5 linked regions of the Canis lupus familiaris genome follow. The protein of the gene in region 1 purifies or fractionates together with the protein of each later gene. This does not show direct contact. Links are inferred from orthologs where the notes say so. Each region holds a gene or a part of one and is shown in the gene's direction. Other genes may lie near its edges.

Evidence for each region.
Region 2: the proteins of STK24 (region 1) and SLMAP purify together in Homo sapiens (affinity purification with mass spectrometry; 6 studies listed by BioGRID and IntAct, with this or other methods). This does not show direct contact. The link is inferred for Canis lupus familiaris from reciprocal best matches to the Homo sapiens genes STK24 and SLMAP.
Region 3: the proteins of STK24 (region 1) and FGFR1OP2 purify together in Homo sapiens (affinity purification with mass spectrometry; 4 studies listed by BioGRID and IntAct, with this or other methods). This does not show direct contact. The link is inferred for Canis lupus familiaris from reciprocal best matches to the Homo sapiens genes STK24 and FGFR1OP2.
Region 4: the proteins of STK24 (region 1) and PPP2R1B purify together in Homo sapiens (affinity purification with mass spectrometry; 3 studies listed by BioGRID and IntAct, with this or other methods). This does not show direct contact. The link is inferred for Canis lupus familiaris from reciprocal best matches to the Homo sapiens genes STK24 and PPP2R1B.
Region 5: the proteins of STK24 (region 1) and SIKE1 purify together in Homo sapiens (affinity purification with mass spectrometry; 4 studies listed by BioGRID and IntAct, with this or other methods). This does not show direct contact. The link is inferred for Canis lupus familiaris from reciprocal best matches to the Homo sapiens genes STK24 and SIKE1.

Annotation. Positions count from the first base shown.
Region 1 is NC_049243.1:48,811,164-48,815,446, reverse strand, and holds the start of STK24 (serine/threonine-protein kinase 24), read left to right. Parts: upstream 1-1,471; 5' UTR 1,472-1,486; coding exon 1,487-1,564; intron 1,565-3,044; coding exon 3,045-3,275; intron 3,276-4,283. UniProt on the Homo sapiens protein: Serine/threonine-protein kinase that acts on both serine and threonine residues and promotes apoptosis in response to stress stimuli and caspase activation.
Region 2 is NC_049241.1:32,860,701-32,864,213, reverse strand, and holds part of SLMAP (sarcolemmal membrane-associated protein), read left to right. Parts: intron 1-273; coding exon 274-594; intron 595-1,052; coding exon 1,053-1,170; intron 1,171-3,513. UniProt on the Homo sapiens protein: Associates with the striatin-interacting phosphatase and kinase (STRIPAK) core complex, forming the extended (SIKE1:SLMAP)STRIPAK complex.
Region 3 is NC_049248.1:25,863,838-25,868,107, forward strand, and holds the start of FGFR1OP2 (FGFR1 oncogene partner 2), read left to right. Parts: upstream 1-1,468; 5' UTR 1,469-1,497; coding exon 1,498-1,632; intron 1,633-3,421; coding exon 3,422-3,539; intron 3,540-4,270. UniProt on the Homo sapiens protein: May be involved in wound healing pathway.
Region 4 is NC_049226.1:21,360,417-21,363,929, forward strand, and holds part of PPP2R1B (serine/threonine-protein phosphatase 2A 65 kDa regulatory subunit A beta isoform), read left to right. Parts: intron 1-1,833; coding exon 1,834-2,066; intron 2,067-2,408; coding exon 2,409-2,556; intron 2,557-3,513. UniProt on the Homo sapiens protein: The PR65 subunit of protein phosphatase 2A serves as a scaffolding molecule to coordinate the assembly of the catalytic subunit and a variable regulatory B subunit.
Region 5 is NC_049238.1:53,000,192-53,004,464, reverse strand, and holds the start of SIKE1 (suppressor of IKBKE 1), read left to right. Parts: upstream 1-1,470; 5' UTR 1,471-1,630; coding exon 1,631-1,789; intron 1,790-2,022; coding exon 2,023-2,128; intron 2,129-3,010; coding exon 3,011-3,153; intron 3,154-4,273.

The DNA of each region.
Region 1 (4,283 bases):
TGCTTCTCTCCCCAGCTCTCCTGAGCTGTGGTTCTCAAAGTGTGGTCTCTGGACCAGTGGCGTCTGCATTACTAGGGTGCTCTCTGATTCTTGGGCCGCACCCCACCTTTACTGAACCAGAAATTCTGAGGGTGGGGTCAGGCAGTCTGTGCTCTAACAAGCCTGCCAGGTGGTTCTGATGCCCCTAAGACTTGAGAGTTACTGTTCCTGCATATTCCAAACGGCCCTTCCTACTGCTTCCTTACACTTGCAAGCTGGAGATGGTACCATCCTCACTCCCCCTTTCCCGGGCTCTCTGTCCCTCTGATATTCTTCGTAATATGTAGTCTGGATGGTGTTTGTGTCAGTGTAAGGTTGGGGCTTTCTTACTGCTCAGGGACACTTATTGGCCATCGGTCATTGTGCTCAGGGACATGGGTATCGAAGTGAGTAAGACACAGTCCCCGAGTTCCCTCAGCTTTTAGTGAGTGAGATTGTGTGCTCTAGGAGAATGGCCAGTTCAGGGAAATGACAGATGCAGTTCATGTAGGTTGAGCTTGAGATGTCCACATAGAAATATATATTTAGCAAGTAATTGATCTTAGGAGTTAAAATTCAAAAAAAAAAAAAATAGAATTCAAAAAGCAGGGCTGGAGTTAGCAATTTGAAAGTTACCATGTACATGATGATTTAAAACCGTTTTTCCTCAAAGGTGGCTATTCATCAGAATCAATTGGAGTCTTTATTTTTAAAGATTTTATTTATTTAGTTAGAGTGAGAGAACACGAGCAGGGGGAGGGAGAAGCAGACTCCCCACTGAGCAAGGAGCCCAATGTGGGGCTCTGTCCCAGGACCCTGAGATCATGACCTGAGCCACCCAAGTGTCCCTATTTGGGGTGTCTAACAATATGGATTATGCACCCCTGCCCCATGTATGACAGAGAGTGATTTGGGATCTCCCACATGTTCCAGGTGATTCTGAGCAGCTAGGTTTGGGGAACACAATCCCAAACAATGAAAACTGTTTGAGGAGAATAAGTAGAGAATGGGTGGGCAGCCAGCATGGAGCCCCCAGGGGCATGCCTGTGATGCAGCCGCCAGGGTGGAGTCTGTGCAGGAAGATCCTCTGGGACTGGGGGGATGGGGAGTAGACAAGTGGGAGAGCAGGGTTTAGATGCCAGGACTGGAAAGTTACCAGAGGGAGGGCTTCTTGGAGGAGGATCAGATTAGGCACTGCAGTGGTGGCCTCAGCTGGAGCCAGACTGTGGCGGTGACCAGCGAGGGGCGGGGCGCCTGGCTGGTCTCGGTGACTTGCAGGGAACTCTCAAGGAAGGAAGGAGAGCGTGAAGGAGAGAGGTGACCAGGGAAGCCCAGTGTTTCTGTTTTTCTCAATGGGAGAAAACTGAGCAGGCTGCCAGGAGTGGTGGGTCTGTAGAGAGGGCTGAATGGAAGAGGCCTCTGGTGTAGGGGGCTGATGCTGCTGAAGCTGTATCCAGGGGACAGAAGGATGGATTCAAAAGCTCAGCGCTCAGGACTGGCCTTGAAGAAGAGGAGGGCCACCCCCCCTCATCCTGGAGGGATGGAGGTGAGGGAAGGGGTTTGGAGATGGGAGTTTCTAGCTGCTGAATGTGGACGTCTCTCTCGTGTCCCTTTTTCCTGGCAACCCCGGGATGCACTCCTTGCTTACTTTGTTCATTTTAAATGATGGGGTTAGTGTAGTCTCAAAAACAGGGCCTCTGGGGTCTGTGAGACCACCCATGACTTAGTGTGTGCGTGTGTTGCTGGGGTGTGCTACTTCCGTGGGGTTCACGCTGCAGCACAGCAGCACCTCCGCGTTGGCAGTGGGCGGGCTGGGTTTCAGCACTTCTCTGGAGGCACTGCTTGGAACTCCATGTGTTTCACCTTGAAAGCAAGTTAATGGCTCGTGCCTGGTTAGCCCCTAGGGCTCACCTAGCTAATGGTGCTGCTGACCTTGCTGTAATTCTCTCTCGATCCCCTCATCACTCCCCCTCCCAGAGACCCCCTCCCCCCACCATGCCTGTTATACTCTCTCCCTTTTCAGCCCTCCTCCTTCCCCATCTTCCTTCCTTCTCCATGTTTCAGTTTCTTAGAAGGACTGGTAGACATGGAGGGTGGGCCTGGCATCCTCTTGTTCATGAGCAGCATTTTTGAGGGGAGGTGTGTGAGGTGGTGGCTCCCAGGGTCCTGTCTTACTCTGTGAGGTTTCAAGTGGTGCCAGCAGTATTTGTGCCGAGCTAGGCAGTGTCCCCAAGTCTTCTTGCCGAATGTCAGTTTCGCCCCTCAGTTTGTGACTGACACCCCCCGGGGATGACAGGCTGCTGCCTGTTGAGAGAACTCAGCTGCTCACACACCTTTCTGGTCTGGGAGCTGTGAGGATGGGTGTTGGAGTCCCTATGTCTGGACCCCTTGGAGATGTACACTGTGTGTATGTGGTTCACCTAATTAGCTAGTGATTGAGAGCTTTCAGAAGCTTTTCCAAGGGCATGATGTTTACAAGACAAAAGAAAACGGGTTCTTATTGTTTCCCAGGATTGGGTTAAAATGTTGAGGGCAAGGTAGTAGCCAAAGGTGAAGATGCATAGGACTGCATTTGCTGGACTTTAAACATGGCCTGTTACGAAATGATTGAGTACTAGTTAACTAGTTACAGTATATGCCTACCTAAACTTAGAAAATTTGTCGGGGAGGGGGAACAAAGGGAGAGAGTGGAATATTTGCGTAACAAGAGTGTTTTTCAATAAATTCATATATCCTAACACTTTGTCTTGGTTTTTACTTAATTATGCAAATACTGGAGCCTTTCCCAGTTTTTATAATCAGGGTTATTGTCCTTGCTTGCATACTTGCTGTGTTTCATAGAGGTGAGGCTTAGAAATCCCTGTGTCCTAAGTGTGAGGAGCTGTGGTCACAACCAGCCTGACCCTCAGATGAAGAAAATGGATCGGTTCTTGGAAGACTGTGTTCTGTGTATTTTTAAGTATGCGGGAAAATCTGTCCCTGTCTTGTGAGTTACTGAGGTCTCTTCTTTTCCTTTTCTCCTACAGAACCTGAAAGCAGATCCAGAAGAGCTTTTTACAAAACTGGAGAAAATTGGAAAGGGCTCATTTGGTGAAGTGTTCAAGGGCATTGACCTTCGGACTCAGAAAGTGGTTGCCATAAAAATCATTGACCTGGAAGAAGCTGAAGATGAGATAGAGGACATTCAGCAAGAAATCACAGTGCTGAGTCAGTGTGACAGTCCCTACGTAACCAAATATTATGGCTCCTATCTGAAGGTAAGGCTTGATAGTAAGAATGTGGTTTTCCATGGTGTAGTACTTGACCGAGTCAGAGCAGGGCGTGGAGAGGATGTCAGTAGCACAGCAGGCTGTCGGAGGAGGGAGAAATGTTCCTTTGATTCCAAAGGCACCTGGCTCTGATAGTCTTATCTTCAATGTCACCTATAGAAATATCTTTTGGTTAAAATGTTTGTTGAAGTTCCTTTCCAAGAAAAAAGCACGTCTGATTGGAACTTGGTCATCAGAGACACATTTCTTATGAAGGTATTACAACAACAACTGTGGACTTACCTAACCTTAGCATGGTTTTTTGTAAAACCTTGTGCCGACCTGAGAATCTTAGCCTTTTGATATTTTCAGTTATCAAATGTAGTTTAATTTAATGTTAAAAAAAACCCTGCTGGAACTGATAATGGTGCTTAGTGAACTAGTTTATCTACATTTGACTTTGAAGAATTCTAGGTAAGTAAACAGTGACTCAACACCACAAATTGTCCTGGATTTCATCTGATTCTGTGAGTAGGATAAAAGAGCACAGCAAATGGTTTTCCAGTCCATAATGGGACCATTTTAGATGCTGTAGGGCACTCTAGTCACACCACTAAGAGAGCGGAAGTCTGTCCCTTGTGTTCATGTCCTTTGACATATGCCTGTTTTACTGACCTTAGCAATATAGTATCTTCCAAGGTGGTGTTTTGGAAATGTTAAAAATCAGTGGACAAAAATTCTAAAATGACTCTTGTGGAAACGAAAACTTCATAGGTAGAAAGTATTGCTTCCTGAGAGAGGCAGTAGTAAGCCTAGAGAACAGACGATGTGGCTTCTCCTATCTGGGGTTTATCCTCTAAATTCTTCTGTTGTAGCTTGCACTCTCTTCTGTCATCAGAAGGGACAGTGCAGGCTTTGATTTTGTGGAAATATGATAATATGTAAGCGGAAGGATGGACATTTTGAGAGCCATCGATTCACTTAAAATGAATATTTAAAGAAATAAAAATTGAGTGG
Region 2 (3,513 bases), on another chromosome or scaffold:
TCTTTTAAAAAAATCTAGAAGAATAAATACCAAATGCTAGAAGCAACTTTCACTGTGTGGGAGAAATAAAAAGATCACTTTGGTTTTTTACTCTTTGTATTTCGGTATTTTGACATTTTCTGCATTAAACTTGGATTGCTTGGACTGCTTAATCAAAAGCAACAAACAGCTCTGACAGCATGGGCTGTGTAGTAACTATAATCCCATTTGGGCAGTTCATTTATTTGTAATCGCTTTGGACAAAGAAAATGATGGATAAATATACTTTTGCAGCCCAACTACAGAGGTTACACATCAATATTGAGAATCTCCGGGAGGAGAAGGACAGTGAAATTACAAGCACTCGAGATGAACTGCTTAGTGCCCGAGATGAAATTTTGCTCCTTCATCAAGCAGCAGAAAAGGCTGCCTCTGAGCGGGACACTGACATTGCCTCATTACAAGAAGAGCTTAAGAAGGTGCGAGGTGAGCTTGAGCGGTGGCGGAAAGCAGCATCTGAATATGAGAAAGAAATCACGAGTCTGCAGAATAGTTTTCAGCTTCGATGTCAGCAGTGTGAGGACCAGCAGAGAGAGGAAGCAACAAGGCTACAAAGTGAGTGCACATATTTTACATAAAGCTCTTAACTCTTGACAGTGATTACTTACAGTTATAAAACTTGCACAAAATAATCATTTGGGCTTTTTTCTCTTTGATAACAATTTAGTTGTATAAAGCAATGTTTTTATATTGGGGCTATAAACATTCTTCAGGTTTGCAAATTCTACAATAAACTGAAATATTTATAATTTTATATTTTACTTTAATACTACTGAAATTATTTGTCTTATAAAAGTGAAATGGGAAGAAAATATTACTTCAAATTCAAGGTGATGAGATTCACCTGAGGTATAGATGCAAAATAAACAGGAACCAAAGAATAGCCATGTAAAATCTACATGTTCTTAAGGGAGGGGGCAAGTACGTTTTTCTCCGAAATATTTCCCTTATCCCCTAAATTATTATGGAAATTTTGTTCCTATATTAATGAATATGTTTTGGGACTATTTTAGGTGAACTAGAGAAGTTGAGAAAGGAATGGAATGTATTGGAAACCGAATGCCATTCTCTAAAAAAGGAAAATGTTTTGTTATCATCAGAACTGCAGCGGCAAGAAAAAGAATTGCACAAGTATGCAAGAACTCTTTTAGCTTCAGAATATTTCTTTATCTTAAATTTTCATCTAAATTAAATTTAAATTTGATACTTAAATACCCTTTTGGAGCAAAATGTTCAGCTAGACTCTTTTTGGCTATTTTAACAGGTTAAGCATGCTAACAATACTGCAGGTTGTGTGTTTTGGGGAACTTTTTTTGTTTTTTAACTTTCACTGTCATCCTACATTTCCTTTCCTTTTGATGTACTCAAGGAATACACATTCGTGGACTACAGCCCCCCACCCCCACCAAAGCCCTAAACAAAAAACAGCAAATATCTATACTTCATGATTGAATTAGTCCTATAAACTAAATGGTAAAAACTTCAAATATAAGTTGTTTTTCTTTCAAGCCAGTGATTCCTTCTGTTTGTAAGGGAATCAGGAGATGACTATAATAAAGAATTTATACCATTGGAAGATACAAATTCAGCTTTTGAATTTCACAGATATATATAAAATCAAGAACTCTCCAAAACTAGTTATGTTTTTCTAATATCCAGTACCTTATAAGCAAACCAAGGAATGCAAAAATTTATTCCAGCAAATTTAGTGGAGTCCTGTTTTCCCACCAACGTTTGTTGTATAGTTTAAAATCTATTTTTTTCCTTAAAAATGTGATCCATTCCATATTTTTATTTAAACACTATTTATGTTCTGATTCAGAATATGAAAGTTATACATGTTTATTATTGAAGCCACTCTTAATTAATCCACCTCCTTCCTCACAGTACACCAGAAATGGGGGTCTTTACTCTTGTTAGCTTGTGTTTATACTCCTAAAGAACCTCAGGGTTAGCAGAAACTCAGTGATCAAGGTCAGTTCCTATAAAAACAAGCTTTAGGAGAAAACAAAGGACTAGATACATCAGAAAATAGTAAGCCTCATTATCTGCTTATAAAGAATAACAGTTGTAATAGATTATACATTTTTAACAATCAAGAACTAGTTGAAGGAACAAGATGTGGTGATTTGTTCTTTAAGATGCCTTTTTACAATACCATGTTTTACAATACCATGTGTTACAAATCTATAAAACCCTTTTCTCTTTCAGTGTCCTGTCTTTCCAGTCTCTTCATACATTCATATGTATTACTTTTTAAATGTTTAGAGGTAACTGATAACAAAGAGTAAACGTATTATAACATGTAAAATTTTATAAAAACAATTCTAAAAACTGAATAGGATAAAATTAAGGTCCAAACACGAATATTTACACATATGAATGTATATATATATGTACCAACGGGATTGTCTGTATTGGCAGCACATTTGGACAAAATGTTTGGTTTAAAATGAGTATTACATGATGCAGACACTCAAATTTTTCTTATTTGGAATCTTAGCTAATCCATTTAGTTTGGTATTCTATCAAGCAAGAAATAGTGATCTTTGATTACTAGTATTGATTATCTTAAATTATTCCTGCCTTGGGATTATTGACATTTTAAAGATATAAACTTGATCCTTCTTTTCTGAGATATAATTTTTTTAAGATTTATTTATTTATTTATTCATTCATTCATTCAGAGAGAGAGAGAGAAAGAGGCAGAGACACAGGCAGAGGGAGAAGCAGGCTCCCTGCAGGAAGCCCAACGTGGGACTCGATCCCGAGTCTCCAGGATCACACCCCGGGCTGCAGGTGGCGCTAAACTGCTGCGCCACCGGGGCTGCCCTCTGAGATATAATTAATTAGAATCTGGCAGGTTGTTAAATGCTGGTTGTTTTTTTTTTTTTTAATTACTTCAGACTTGTTCAAATGTTGAAAAGCAGAAAACTCCTGATGAGTTAGAAGCATACAGTTTAAAAATATTAGGTCCCAGAAGGTGGAATATATTATATCATTAGTCAAAGTTGTCTGCTGAAACTCACATAAATTTTTTATGTTTCCTAAACTTTTTTTGGTCTAGTGGCTAACTTTATTTGGCAAGCCTTTTTAGCATATAAGTAGTATTTAGAAGTTAGTCTTCCTTTACAGAGTCTTCTGTGCCATTTAGTTCCTAGCTATATTGGGCTGATGCCACACTCATCCCTTAAGAATTTGCCTGGCGTACAGTCAGATTGGGATTTATACTCCATAGTTCCTTCATTAACAATATTGAGTCTAAGTCTTATGATCCATTCTGAGAAGCATAAAACTGTAATCTTGAAAACTTTATTCTCCTTTAGCTATTTCTGTTGTAGATGGGAGCCACATTCTTTCAAACAGTTACACTATGATAGGTCTTTTTTTTTTATTGTTTGTGATGTAGAAGAAATTGAACAAAGAATTTTTACTAATGCCTATCAAGCTGTTTTCCTAGTGTACAAATTGAAA
Region 3 (4,270 bases), on another chromosome or scaffold:
TCTGTCTTCCTAAAGTTGATGAAATTCTTAATTATAGCCCTTAGCTTGGATCCATACCAGAGTTTTAATTTAACTTCTATAGACCTGGCTTCTGGCCTAGTAAATTTACAGTGTGATTTTACTTTTAGAGAAAACCCTGAAGAAAGGATGGCTCATATAGAAGGTAAGGTAAAACTTACCTTACAACGAGAAAAATCCAAAGATTAAGTTTCAGAAGATTGAAGTCTTTGAAAGAGATTATTTTAAAATTAAGATTTTGTTTTGAGGTCTCAGTACTAAATGAAGAAGCTAACTGTTGAGTGTTTCGTATTTTTCTGCTAATTTTTTTAGCTCTTCTTAAACACATTATTTATTGATTTTTAACATATCAAAAATTTCCCGTATGGCTGGTGTTCTAAGTCATATATTTTTTTAACCACTTAATAAGGAAAGCACAAGACTTAGGATTATAATACTTCATATATGAAGTATTTCCTCCAGCGATGCCTGGGTGGCTCAGCAGTTGAGCAAGCCTGCCTTTGGCTCAGGGCATGATCCTGGAGTCCCATGTGGGCGGGCTCCCTGCATGGAGCCTGCTTCTCCCTCTGCCTGTGTCTCTGCCTCTCTCTCCGTGTCTCTCATGAATAAATAAATAAAATATTTATTTATTTATTTTTACTTTTTGGTAAAAGTCTTTAAAAAAAAAAAAAAAAGTATTTCCTTCAGTCAGGATGCCTGACTGGCTCAGTCAGTTAAACATCTGCCTTCTGCTCAGGTCATGACTCCTGGATCCTGGGATGGAATTCCTGTATGGGTTTCCCTGCTCAGCAGGGAGTCTGTTTCTCCCTCTGCCCCTCCCCGCTGCTTATGTTCTTACGCATGTGTGTTTTCTCCCTCTTTCTCTTTTTCAAATAAGTGAAATCTTAAAAACATTTTTTTTTAAAAAGTAGTTCCTTCAAAAGAAGGACACTCTGAAGGACACTCTGACATAGTATGACACATAGAGACGACTTTAGCTGGTCAATAAGTGTGAGTTGTGAAATGGTTGGTGTCTCAGGTCACTTAACCAAGCAAAGGCTAGAAAGGATCTCATAGCTAGTGACTGACAATCATGGACCACAGAGTATGGACTAATAAAGTGATCTTTTTCACAAATATCAGGAGAAGGGAATGATCTCATGAAGAACACAATTTCTGTGTAATATAAAATGTATTTACTTGATTTGTACTTTTTTCCCCACTATAAATTCAGAGTGTTTTAAATACACGCAGATTACGTCTGCAAATCATTTATATATGCTCTAATTTTTTAATATTATAAATTTACTTTTAAGCTTGTGCCCTCCGAACAGAAGCAAAACCACAAGTGTTCTTACATGTTTTCTCTCCCCAGTGAACAATCCTGTAATAAATGTAACTTACGAAGCATATCGATGTTAACATGAAACTAAAATAATAAGATGATAAGCTGGCTTTGTTTAGAGTCTTGATTTTAATTTTATAGGTATTCCTTTAGAAATGAGTTGCACAATTGAGAAGGCACTTGCTGATGCTAAAGCTCTTGTTGAAAGATTGAGAGATCATGACGATGCAGCAGAATCTCTGATTGAGCAAACCACAGCTCTCAATAAGCGAGTAGAAGCGATGAAGCAGGTTTGATTTCTTTTCTTTCTTGTGGATTCCACTTTGAAAAAAGCAGTCAGATATTTATGTATTGCTTGAATCATAAATTTCTGCTTAATACCGTTTTTTTAATGTTTTATAAAATTTAAAAGTAACTTGATTTGTATATTTTAATTTTATTTTAGATTATCATATAATTTTGTCATGTCCAGGTGATACAGATATATATATGTATATTCTAAAAACCATATATTTGATTATTTGTTTTTCTGGCAGAGTTGCACATTGGAGTTTAGAAAATATATTAGGTTCTGATATATTAGAGACCAATAATATCTTTCACTAATAGTGATATATTTTGCTCTCTTATTTTTATAATGTAGAAATGTTTATATTTTTCTTTGTAAAAGTACTTAGGTGATGTTATTTAACAACAGAATTTTCAAAAATGGCATAAGGCAATATCTGGTTTATATATTATGCAGTTGTTGAATTTGTACTTCCTACCTTAATTTCCATTTAGTGCTACCAATTAAAGAAAAATTGAAAAGGGTTTCAGTTATTATCCTTATAATGTACATAGGAAGTTTCTTATATAAGAATTGTATATAAGAATTTTCCAGTGGTCCACGGGGTTAAGGTACCATTTTAAGCCTACTTATGATAAAAATTTTCAACTTTAAGATAATTATACAGTCTCTCCTTATGATGGAAATCATTTAGGGGGAAATGTATATTCATAGCCTACTCTTGTGAAACTCATCCATTTTGTAAAAGGAAGCAACCCTGGAATACCACTTTTAACAAAGCTATTGGAAATAATAGAGCAAATTTACTTGTTTTGTTGCCTTAAACAGATTACATATCTCCCTAACTGTCCAGCTTGACTCATGCATTCCAAGGAACTAATATCTGGTACTGAGTCATAAAAACAAAGGAGTTTGACAACTAAAGAACCAGAAATGTTATAATGAATACATTACTAAGCAGCACATCAAAATGCCTTGAAAATGAAGGAGTACAATTTTAAAGTTAGATTCACATTTATTTCTAGGTTTTTTATTTCTTTTTTACATGTTCTTTTGCTATTGTTATTGAGATATAATTCACAATACCCATATAGTTTACCCTCCTAAAGGGCATAGTTCATTGGATTTTAGTACATTCATAGGTTGCGCAACCACAATCACTATCTAATTCCAGAACATTCTCCTCACCCCAAAAGCTTACCTCCATTAGCAAGCTAGGTATTCCCTAGCTCTCCCTTCCCTCAGCCCCTGGCAACTAATCTTTCTATCTCTATAGATTTGTCTCTTTGGGATATTTCATGTGAATGGAATCATACAATATGTGGCTTTTTGTAACTTTTTTAAATGTAATGTTCTTGAGGTTCATCCATATTATAGCATGTTTTAAGTTTTTTATTCCTTTTTATTGCTGAATAATATTCCATCATAAGGATATAGTGCATTGTGTCTATCCATTCATCAGTTGATGGGACATTTGGATTATTTCTATTTGGGGGCTGTTATGAATAATACTGCTGTGAATATTTGTGTACAAATTTCTGTGTAGACCTATATTTTCAGTTATCTTGGGTATATACGTGGGGGTAGAATTATAGTCATCCTGCTATACATTAGATTCTCCAGAACTTACTCATCGTTTGCCCATTTTTAATACATCATCATTAAATTATTATTATTATTGAGAGTTGTTAAGAATTCTTTATATATTCTGGATTAGGCCCTTATATATATTGAGATATGTATTTTCAAATATTTTCTCCCAACATGTTCTTTTTTGATCTTTTCATTAGTATCAGGAGGAAATTCAAGAACTTAATGAAGTTGCAAGGCATCGGCCACGGTCCACATTAGTTATGGGAATCCAGCAAGAAAACAGACAAATCAGAGAACTGCAACAAGAGAACAAAGGTGGGGTCCTGAGGTGGCTCAGTGGGCTAAGCAGCTGCCTTTGGCTTAGGTCTCAGGATCCTGGGATGGAGCCCCACATTGGGCTCTCTGCTCATTGGGGAGCCTGCTTCTCCCTCTCCCTCTGCCTGCCACTCCCCTTCTCTCTCTCTCTCTTTAATAAATAAATAAAATCTTTATAAAATAAAAGAGAATGAAGGTAAGATATATAATTTTAAGATTATTAAGAACGTATGATTGTAAAAAACAAAGGAGTTTGACAAATAAAGCTAAAAACCAGTAATGTTATAATGAATTATGTTACTAAGTCACTCAGCAAAATGCCTTGAGAATAAAAGTGTAGGCTTTAAAGTTAGATTCACATTTATTTAAAAAATTTTTTCATTTCTTTTGCACATACTCTTTTATTACTATTGAGATATAATTCACATACCATAAAATATACTCTTTGGGAAGGCATAGTTCATTGGATTTTAGTTAAAATTAAACTTGGTTGACCATTTGCTTCAACGTGAATAGAACTGGAGGCTATTATGCTGAGTGAAGTAAGTCAATCAGAGAAGGACAAACATTATATGGTCTCATTCATTTGGGGAATATAAAAATAGTGAAAGGGAATAAAGGGGAAAGGAGAGAAAATGAGTGGGAAATATCAGAGAGGGAGACAGAACATGAGAGACTTCTAACTCTGAGAAACAAAGGGTAGTGGAAGGGGAGGTAGGCAGGGGGAAGGG
Region 4 (3,513 bases), on another chromosome or scaffold:
ATGGCTTCTGTACATATTCCAAATCAGTTCACTTTCCTTCTTCCCACTATTACCTAGCTCTTCTTTCCTTTCCTCTCCCCAGATCTCAAAATCTTTCCTCTAGATTACTCCAGTAACATCTTGACAGTTGCCTTCTACCCAATCCTTCTGGTTCGCTCTTCACCCAGCAAGTGGATACTTCCCGTCTCAGCTCTTTGAAAATCCAAATTCCTGCCTTAGGTTCTGTAAATTAAGGGACAAACTATCTCTGTGAATTTATCTCATGTCATGTTCCTCTTGAGAACTTCATTCTATTTATAGTGGTGGTGTTTTTGTTCTTTGAAGAAACCAAGCTTATTATTGCCTTATTATTGGCCTAGGTATTCCTTCTGCTGTTCTTTGAGCTTCTGGTGGCTAGTTCCTTGTCATTCAGAACCAACTTCAGTGCATCTTCTCAGAGAGGCCTTCCGTGAATGCCTAACCTGAAATTGCCTCCCAGTCATCCCCTTACCACATCATCCTATTCTATTTCTTCACAGAATACTCCTCACCATATGATTGTTTTCTTGATCGGTTATCTTCCTCCACTAGACTGTAGAGCCCCCTAGAGCAAGGATCCTGTCTGCCTTGTTTTTTCTCTGTCCTCAGTGCTACAGTATAGCAGTAATTATTCATTGATTCAGGGGTTTCAAAGTGTGAAACAGGTTGCCTTGCTGGATGTTGAGCTGGCATATGAAGGATGGTAGGGGAGGCCACAGGGAGAGAGCCGGGAGAAACAGGCAGAGTTCAGATTCAGAGAAAACTCCTCGTTGATTGTCAGGAGGTTGGCCTTACTGTATAGTGGTGACAGAGACTATCCAGTGATGCTATACGAGAGGAGCTTGGGGAAGGCAATGGTAGATCGTGAGGCAGTCACAAGTGAGTAAGAACACAGTATCTTCTCAAATGGCTTGTGAAATACCTTTTAGGAAAGCTCAGTACTTTCTACTTCTGTGTATCAAATGATTTTTGAAATGTATTATTAGGTAGACACACTTTCCTTTGATTCATAATTCTGTTTCATCTCTTGGTCAGTTCTGTATGTGGATTTTGTGTTGAATATTTGCAGCTCATGGCATATGCTGAATATACCTAGCTCAGATGCAAACCCAGGTCGAGGTTCAGAGGACCAGCCCTCTTGCTCTTTTCATGGGGCTGTGTCATATTCACTTACTCATCCTAGTCCAGACCGACCCTCCTGGTCTCTGCAGCTGTAGACAAGGGTTCCTACCAGGTCTATACTCTCCATTGTTCTCCAACTCCTGCTTTGTATCTTCCTCACAAGATTCTGTATGTATTCTTTCATATGTTAGATAAGTTGATGGTGTGGCTCTAGTGCACAAGGGTTGCCTGCATTTCCAGGAATGGTCAAATAATACTCCAGAGACTGTAGGTCAGTGGCCTGCTGGGATGTCATCATGTAATTGTGGTGCTCAGTGTTGCTCATGTTTCTGCACTCACTCTTGAGGAAATAAACATGATCTTATCTGAATTTGGCTACATATCTTTTAAACCTAGTCATTCAGCTCGTGGTAATATTAATATTGTGTCAAGTCTCTACTGTGTCATTTGTAGACACCATCTGGGAATTGCCATCTGGGACATGAGATCTTGGCTGTCCTACAGAAGTCGTGTCTTCAGGTTGGACGCACCATATGTTATCACTGTGTGAACTGAAAGTAACCATTTGGTGTGATGTAGCTAACATTCTGGTTACATGTACCACCTCCCTTCAGTCACTTTAAAAGGTGATAATGTGTAGCTAACCTGATTCAGTAAGTTTTCTTCTCTGATTTTCCTTTTTGATCTATTCAGCCTCCTTTGGAAAGTTTGGCAACTGTGGAAGAGACTGTGGTTCGAGACAAAGCTGTGGAGTCCCTGAGGCAGATCTCCCAGGAGCATACTCCTGTTGCTTTGGAAGCACATTTTGTACCTCTGGTGAAACGCCTGGCGAGTGGTGATTGGTTCACTTCTCGCACATCTGCATGTGGTTTGTTCAGCGTTTGCTATCCCAGGGCTTCAAATGCTGTCAAGGCAGAGATTAGACAGTAAGATATGATGTTTTCTCTGTTATTTGGGATTACTGGGAACTCATAGCTGACAATTTACACAATAATACCCTGTTACCAGTGAGTGGCTGATAGGATAGCAGATGTGGTAACATGACTTTTTATCATTAAGTTGAATATACTAGTGGTTTTGTTTATACTTGTTACTTCTGTGAGTCAAAGCCTAAGCACTGATGTTTGTAAGAGAAAACCTCTAAAATGGCCCTGTGTGTGTGTGTGTGTGTGTGTGTGTATTTAGGTATGTGTGTGTGTGTGCGTGTTGGGGGGTGTTTAATCCATGGTATTTGAGAGGAAATACCTTCATTATTTTGTTTGCCCCAGGCACTTCCGTTCCTTGTGCTCAGATGACACTCCAATGGTACGACGTGCTGCCGCTTCCAAACTGGGCGAATTTGCAAAAGTTTTGGAATTAGACAGTGTGAAAAGTGAAATTGTTCCACTGTTCACAAATCTAGCTTCAGATGAACAGGTAAGTTAGCCTTTACTATTTAAAGTACATCGATATAGTCCTCTCTTCTGACATTTTAAGGATTTCTTTGGGGAGTGTTGATTCTCTTGTTAAGATCCTTTTTGCCAAATTGATGCTTAATTCTGGGCTAGATAAAGTTTAATATGACCCATCTCAGTGTCCTTATATTTCTTTCTTAACCAGACCATGATTTTCTGTTATATTAGCAGCGGTTAAAAGAAGAGTCAAAGAAGACATGGGAGGGTGCCTGGGTGGCTCAGTCGGTTAAGCATCTGCCTTCAGCTCAGATCATGATCACAGGGTTCCTGCTCAGCGTGGAGCCTGCTTCTCCCTCTCTCTCTGCCCTTCCCCCTGCTTGTGCGCTTGTGTTCTCTTTCTCTCTGTCAAATAAATTCTTTTTTAAAAGAAAAAAGGAAATGGGAGCCACATTAGAAGGGAAAACCAAATCTACGTTAAGGGGTAACATACCTTTTTTGCTCATAGCAGCCAGTCATGGGAGGAGGAGTTGCCTGGAATTTTTGACTTTCAAGTATAGTGTCTGTTAAGAAGGCTGTTTGACCCTCTCTATCCTCTGGATGAGTATATAGGCTGACTTTGCATAATAGCAATTTTAAATCCAAGGGTCTGTATCTTTTTGGGAGTAGAAATAAGAACAATTAAGGAGCACCTACATTAAGTATGTAATTTTTCTCAGCCTGTTTTAAGAGGTTTACATGTAAGAAGTGCTTTGGTCTTCACAATACCCTCATGAGGTAGAAACCCTGTGTGATATAGTAGGAAACGAACACAGAAAATTAAAGTAACTTTTCAGGGTTGCATAGTTAGCAGACACAGTTGTACAGTTGGTTCCAGAGTTTACAGTCTTCACAGCCAGGCTGTACTGTTTCCCTTTGTGGTTCAGAGGAATCAGCCCCCAGAGTTTCTGGACTCTAGAAGAATCCTTTTAGAGTCTTAATT
Region 5 (4,273 bases), on another chromosome or scaffold:
TGATCTCCATCTTGAGAAACAGTTATTGAATGTCTCCATTGTGCCAGCTATTGGGAATACAAAAGTAAAATGCACTGTTCTTTTCCTGCTGCTTCTCTAAACTCTCACTACTGCTCTGAGGCTCTTGCCCCCTAATCTGTCATTACCTTCAATTATTTGAGTATGAACTCTTTCTCCCATTAGAATATTAATTCCTTAAGTGCAGATACCCTGTGTCATTGTCTGCCATGTTCTAGACACTAAACAGTGCCTGTAACAAAGCAGACCCTCCAAAAATACTTATTAAAGTAAGAATGAAAAAGGATGAAGTTTGATATACAAGCTTGACAAAGTAAACTCTTATAAACCAATATAACAAATAGTACAAAGGTCATTGCCTTTTTGGTTAATTTATTTTTTTAATATTTTATTTATTTATTCATGAGAGACACAGAGGCAGAGACCCGGGCAGAGGGGCAGGTTCCCTGCAGGGAGCCCAATGTCGGACTCCATTCCAGGACCCTGTGATCACGCCCTGAGTCAAAGGCAGACGCTCAACCACTGAGCCACCCAGGTGCCCCCTGGTTAATTTACTTTTAAGTTATTAATTGAATTAAGAGAGAAAAAATAGGCAAGTAGAAAATAATGACTATCTCACACCCATTAAGATGATCATCATTAACAACAACAGAAAACACCAGGTGTGGGCAAGGACTTGGAGAAATTAGAACCCTTGCGCACTGCTGCTAAAAAATGTAAAATGGTGCAGCCACTGTGGAAAACAGGATGATCTTTTCTCAAAAAATCCAAGGTAGATTTACCATATGACCCAGCAATTCCACTTTTGGGTACATAGCCAAAAGAACTGAAAGCTGGGATTCCTTCAGTGGATGGATAAACAAAACATACCATAGACATACAATGGGGTATAATTAATATTTTATATCCCATATAATGGGATATAATTCAGTCTTAAACAGGAAGGAAATTCTGATGTGCACGGACAGAACTCGAGGACACGTTCTGTGAAATAAGCTAGTCACAAAACAACAAATATGATTGACAGTGGCACCACTCACTGTATATAAGGTATCCGAAATAGTGAAATTCCTAAAGGCAGAAAGCAGAAGAGTGGCTGCCAGTGGCTGGGAGGAATAAGTAGTTAATATTTAACGGGTTAAGAGTTTCCATTTGGCAAGGTGAAGAGAGTTCTGGAAATGGATGTGGGGACGATTGCGTAACAGAGAAAGCCCCTTAATACTACCGGAGTGTACGTGTCAAAATGGTTAAGATGGTGCATTTTATTGTATTTTACCGTAGTTTTTAAAATTAATTTTAAAAAGAGACTAAGCACCAAAAAAAGATTTTAAAATCCGGTGACTGAAAAACAATCCCCATCAATCAAAACCCACAGGGAAGGAAGAAACCCGGGTCGCCCAGCCACACGCCACCTCGATCACCGCGGGAGCCGGAAGCCGAGGGCGGGGCCGGCCGGGCTGCCGGAAGCCGCTGGTTCAAGTAGGGCCACCCGCGGACTAGGCCCCACTGCGCAGGCGCATAGGGCGGCCGGAAGTGACGTCGATAACGCTGAGCCAGGTTCAGGGAAGAGTAGTGTAGGTGAGCAGGACGGGAGCAAGGATCCGGGGCCACTATGAGCTGCACCATCGAGAAGATCCTGACAGACGCCAAGACGCTGCTCGAGCGGCTACGGGAACACGACGCGGCCGCAGAGTCGCTCGTGGATCAGTCCGCCGCGCTGCACCGGCGGGTGGCCGCTATGCGGGAGGCGGGGACGGCGCTTCCGGACCAGGTCGGGCAGAGAGTAGGGGTCGGTGCCCGCAGGATCTGTGCACCCGAGGGGTGGAGGGCAAAGGAAAGCGGGAACTCGGCCTTAAACGTATGCCTGGTTTCAGAGGGTGGCGGTGAGACTTTCCTTCGGGGTCGGGGCTGAGCGTGCTGCCCTGGAGCTCCGACTCCTTCTTCAGTTGCATCCGCGGCTGTTCTCCTGTTAACGGCGCGCTTAGTCTGTCTCTGTTTGTCCAGTATCAAGAAGATGCATCCGATATAAAGGACATGTCCAAATTCAAACCTCACATTCTGCTGTCCCAAGAGAATACACAGATTAGAGACTTGCAGCAGGAAAACAGAGGTTAGTCAGGACTTTTTGTGTAGTTATGATTTTCTAACATCCAGTTATATTTCAAAAGTTCTTGCCAAACGAACTATTCACATCCTATATGTATCTCCAGATCAGTACTTTTAAAAGCGTTATCCTGCGATGGCCCAGTAACGATAAAGTTTGTTACTTTAAGGTCATCTGACTGACTTTGCATATATAGGCAAGCTTATCAAAGGGGAGCTTAGTGGAGTTGAATTGTTGCATGGTTTACTTTTTTATCCCCATATGGATACTTGCATAACAAGGTGTTAATATCCTCAAGGGCTTGGATTTTTTTATGTTCAAATATTAATTGAAATAAGCACTGACGCTAAGATTGAAGAGGGTTTTTTTTTTTTTTTTAATGTTCTTGTGCAGGGTGGAAGAACTGAATTTTAGCCTCGGGGTATATATTCTCAGGCTTGATGTGTACATTATTAATAATAGCGGTATGAAGTTATTTGTATAGTAGTTTACAGTGCGCTTTCATTTATATTATCCCATTGTATTATCATATCTTCATTTTGAGGTAGATAAGCTGGTACTTAATATTACAGTGCAGTTAAGAAATAGGCTCAGAGAGGGTAATAATTTGCATAAGTGTAGTAGTAAGCTAGTAACTCACAGAACTGAACTGAAACCCTTGTCTCCTGATTCTACATCTCATGTTGTTTATACCAGATGAAGCTGCCTCTGCCTAGAAAGTTATTTTTCACATAGACCTAACTGTTGAGTTTTGTGGACTTAAACACTGATTTATAATTTTGTATTCATGGTATTTCATGGCGTGTCATAAAATTCTGTTAAAAGAGTTTTGGCTTTGGGAGCTATCTCTCAGACATCACTGCCAAGTGATTTTATTTTTTTTGGTAGAGCTATGGGTTTCCTTGGAGGAACACCAGGATGCTTTGGAACTCATCATGAGCAAGTACCGGAAACAGATGTTACAATTAATGGTTGCCAAAAAGGCTGTGGATGCTGAGCCTGTCCTGAAAGCTCACCAGTCTCACTCTGCAGTAAGAAACTTTAGTGAATAAATTCTGAATGAATGAGATTGAAATCTCTAATTATTTTAAATTGTTCACTTGTTTTTGAAGAAAACTAAGCTTGTCTTTCATATTTCTCACATTTGCTGTTGATTTTGCTGTATCTTGTAAGGATATGATTAGAAAGCAGGGGGTAAGGGGCTGCTCAGGAGCTTTTTTTCTTTGAGTGGGACTAAGGTAGGTTCCTCACCCCACCTGCCCCAAGATGTCTTTGCAAGATTAATGGATGCCTAGTTTTTCCACCAAACATAATGCAAGGTAGTGCTGAAGGTACTCAGTAAATACTTGGTTGGTTATTATTGTACTTTCACTAAACTATAAGCTCCTTGATTATAGGGAGCATGGATTCTTCTTTTATACCTAACACAGTACCTGGCATGTAGCAGACAGAAACCTTTATTAAACTGAATTACGTAGCATCATATTATGTTAGAAGTATGGTTTTAAAAAAAATACATGGCATAGTTTCTACACTTTGATTGCTTATGCTTTAATTTGGGAGACCCAGTTATTGTGCTTATGTTTCTAGAGTGCTTCATGGGTGGCATTGTACATTTACATGTACTATATCATTTAAACCTGGATTAATGAATTGGCACCTCACTATTTGTTCCATGGAATTTATGAAACATAAACTTCATCTTAGAATCCTTTGAAAGCATTTTGCTGACTTAACAAAAGTCTTAGGGAACAGGAATACTTTCAATATGTGAACAGCTCTCAAACATTTCTCATCTGGAAGAGAAAAACTATTTTTCTGTAATCTGGAGGAAAAAACTTTAAGATTAAAAGAGACAGTTTAGCTCATGTGAAAAACTTGGGAAGAGATATATCCAAAAAAAGAATAAAGTACCTTGGAAGCTTTGGTAAGCTGTGGTAAGCTTCCTGACAATAAAAGTATTCAATTTAAGTTAAACAGCCACATAGAGATATTGTCCATTGTCCAGTGGGTGGTTAGACTAGAATCAATCTTGAAAACAAATTGTAAATACTACAAGATAACTTTATTATAGCTTTGCCTCTAAGGACTCGGATTACAGTGAAATGCCTGTGTAATTTCTGTAGCATAGATTAAATGAACTTTCTAACA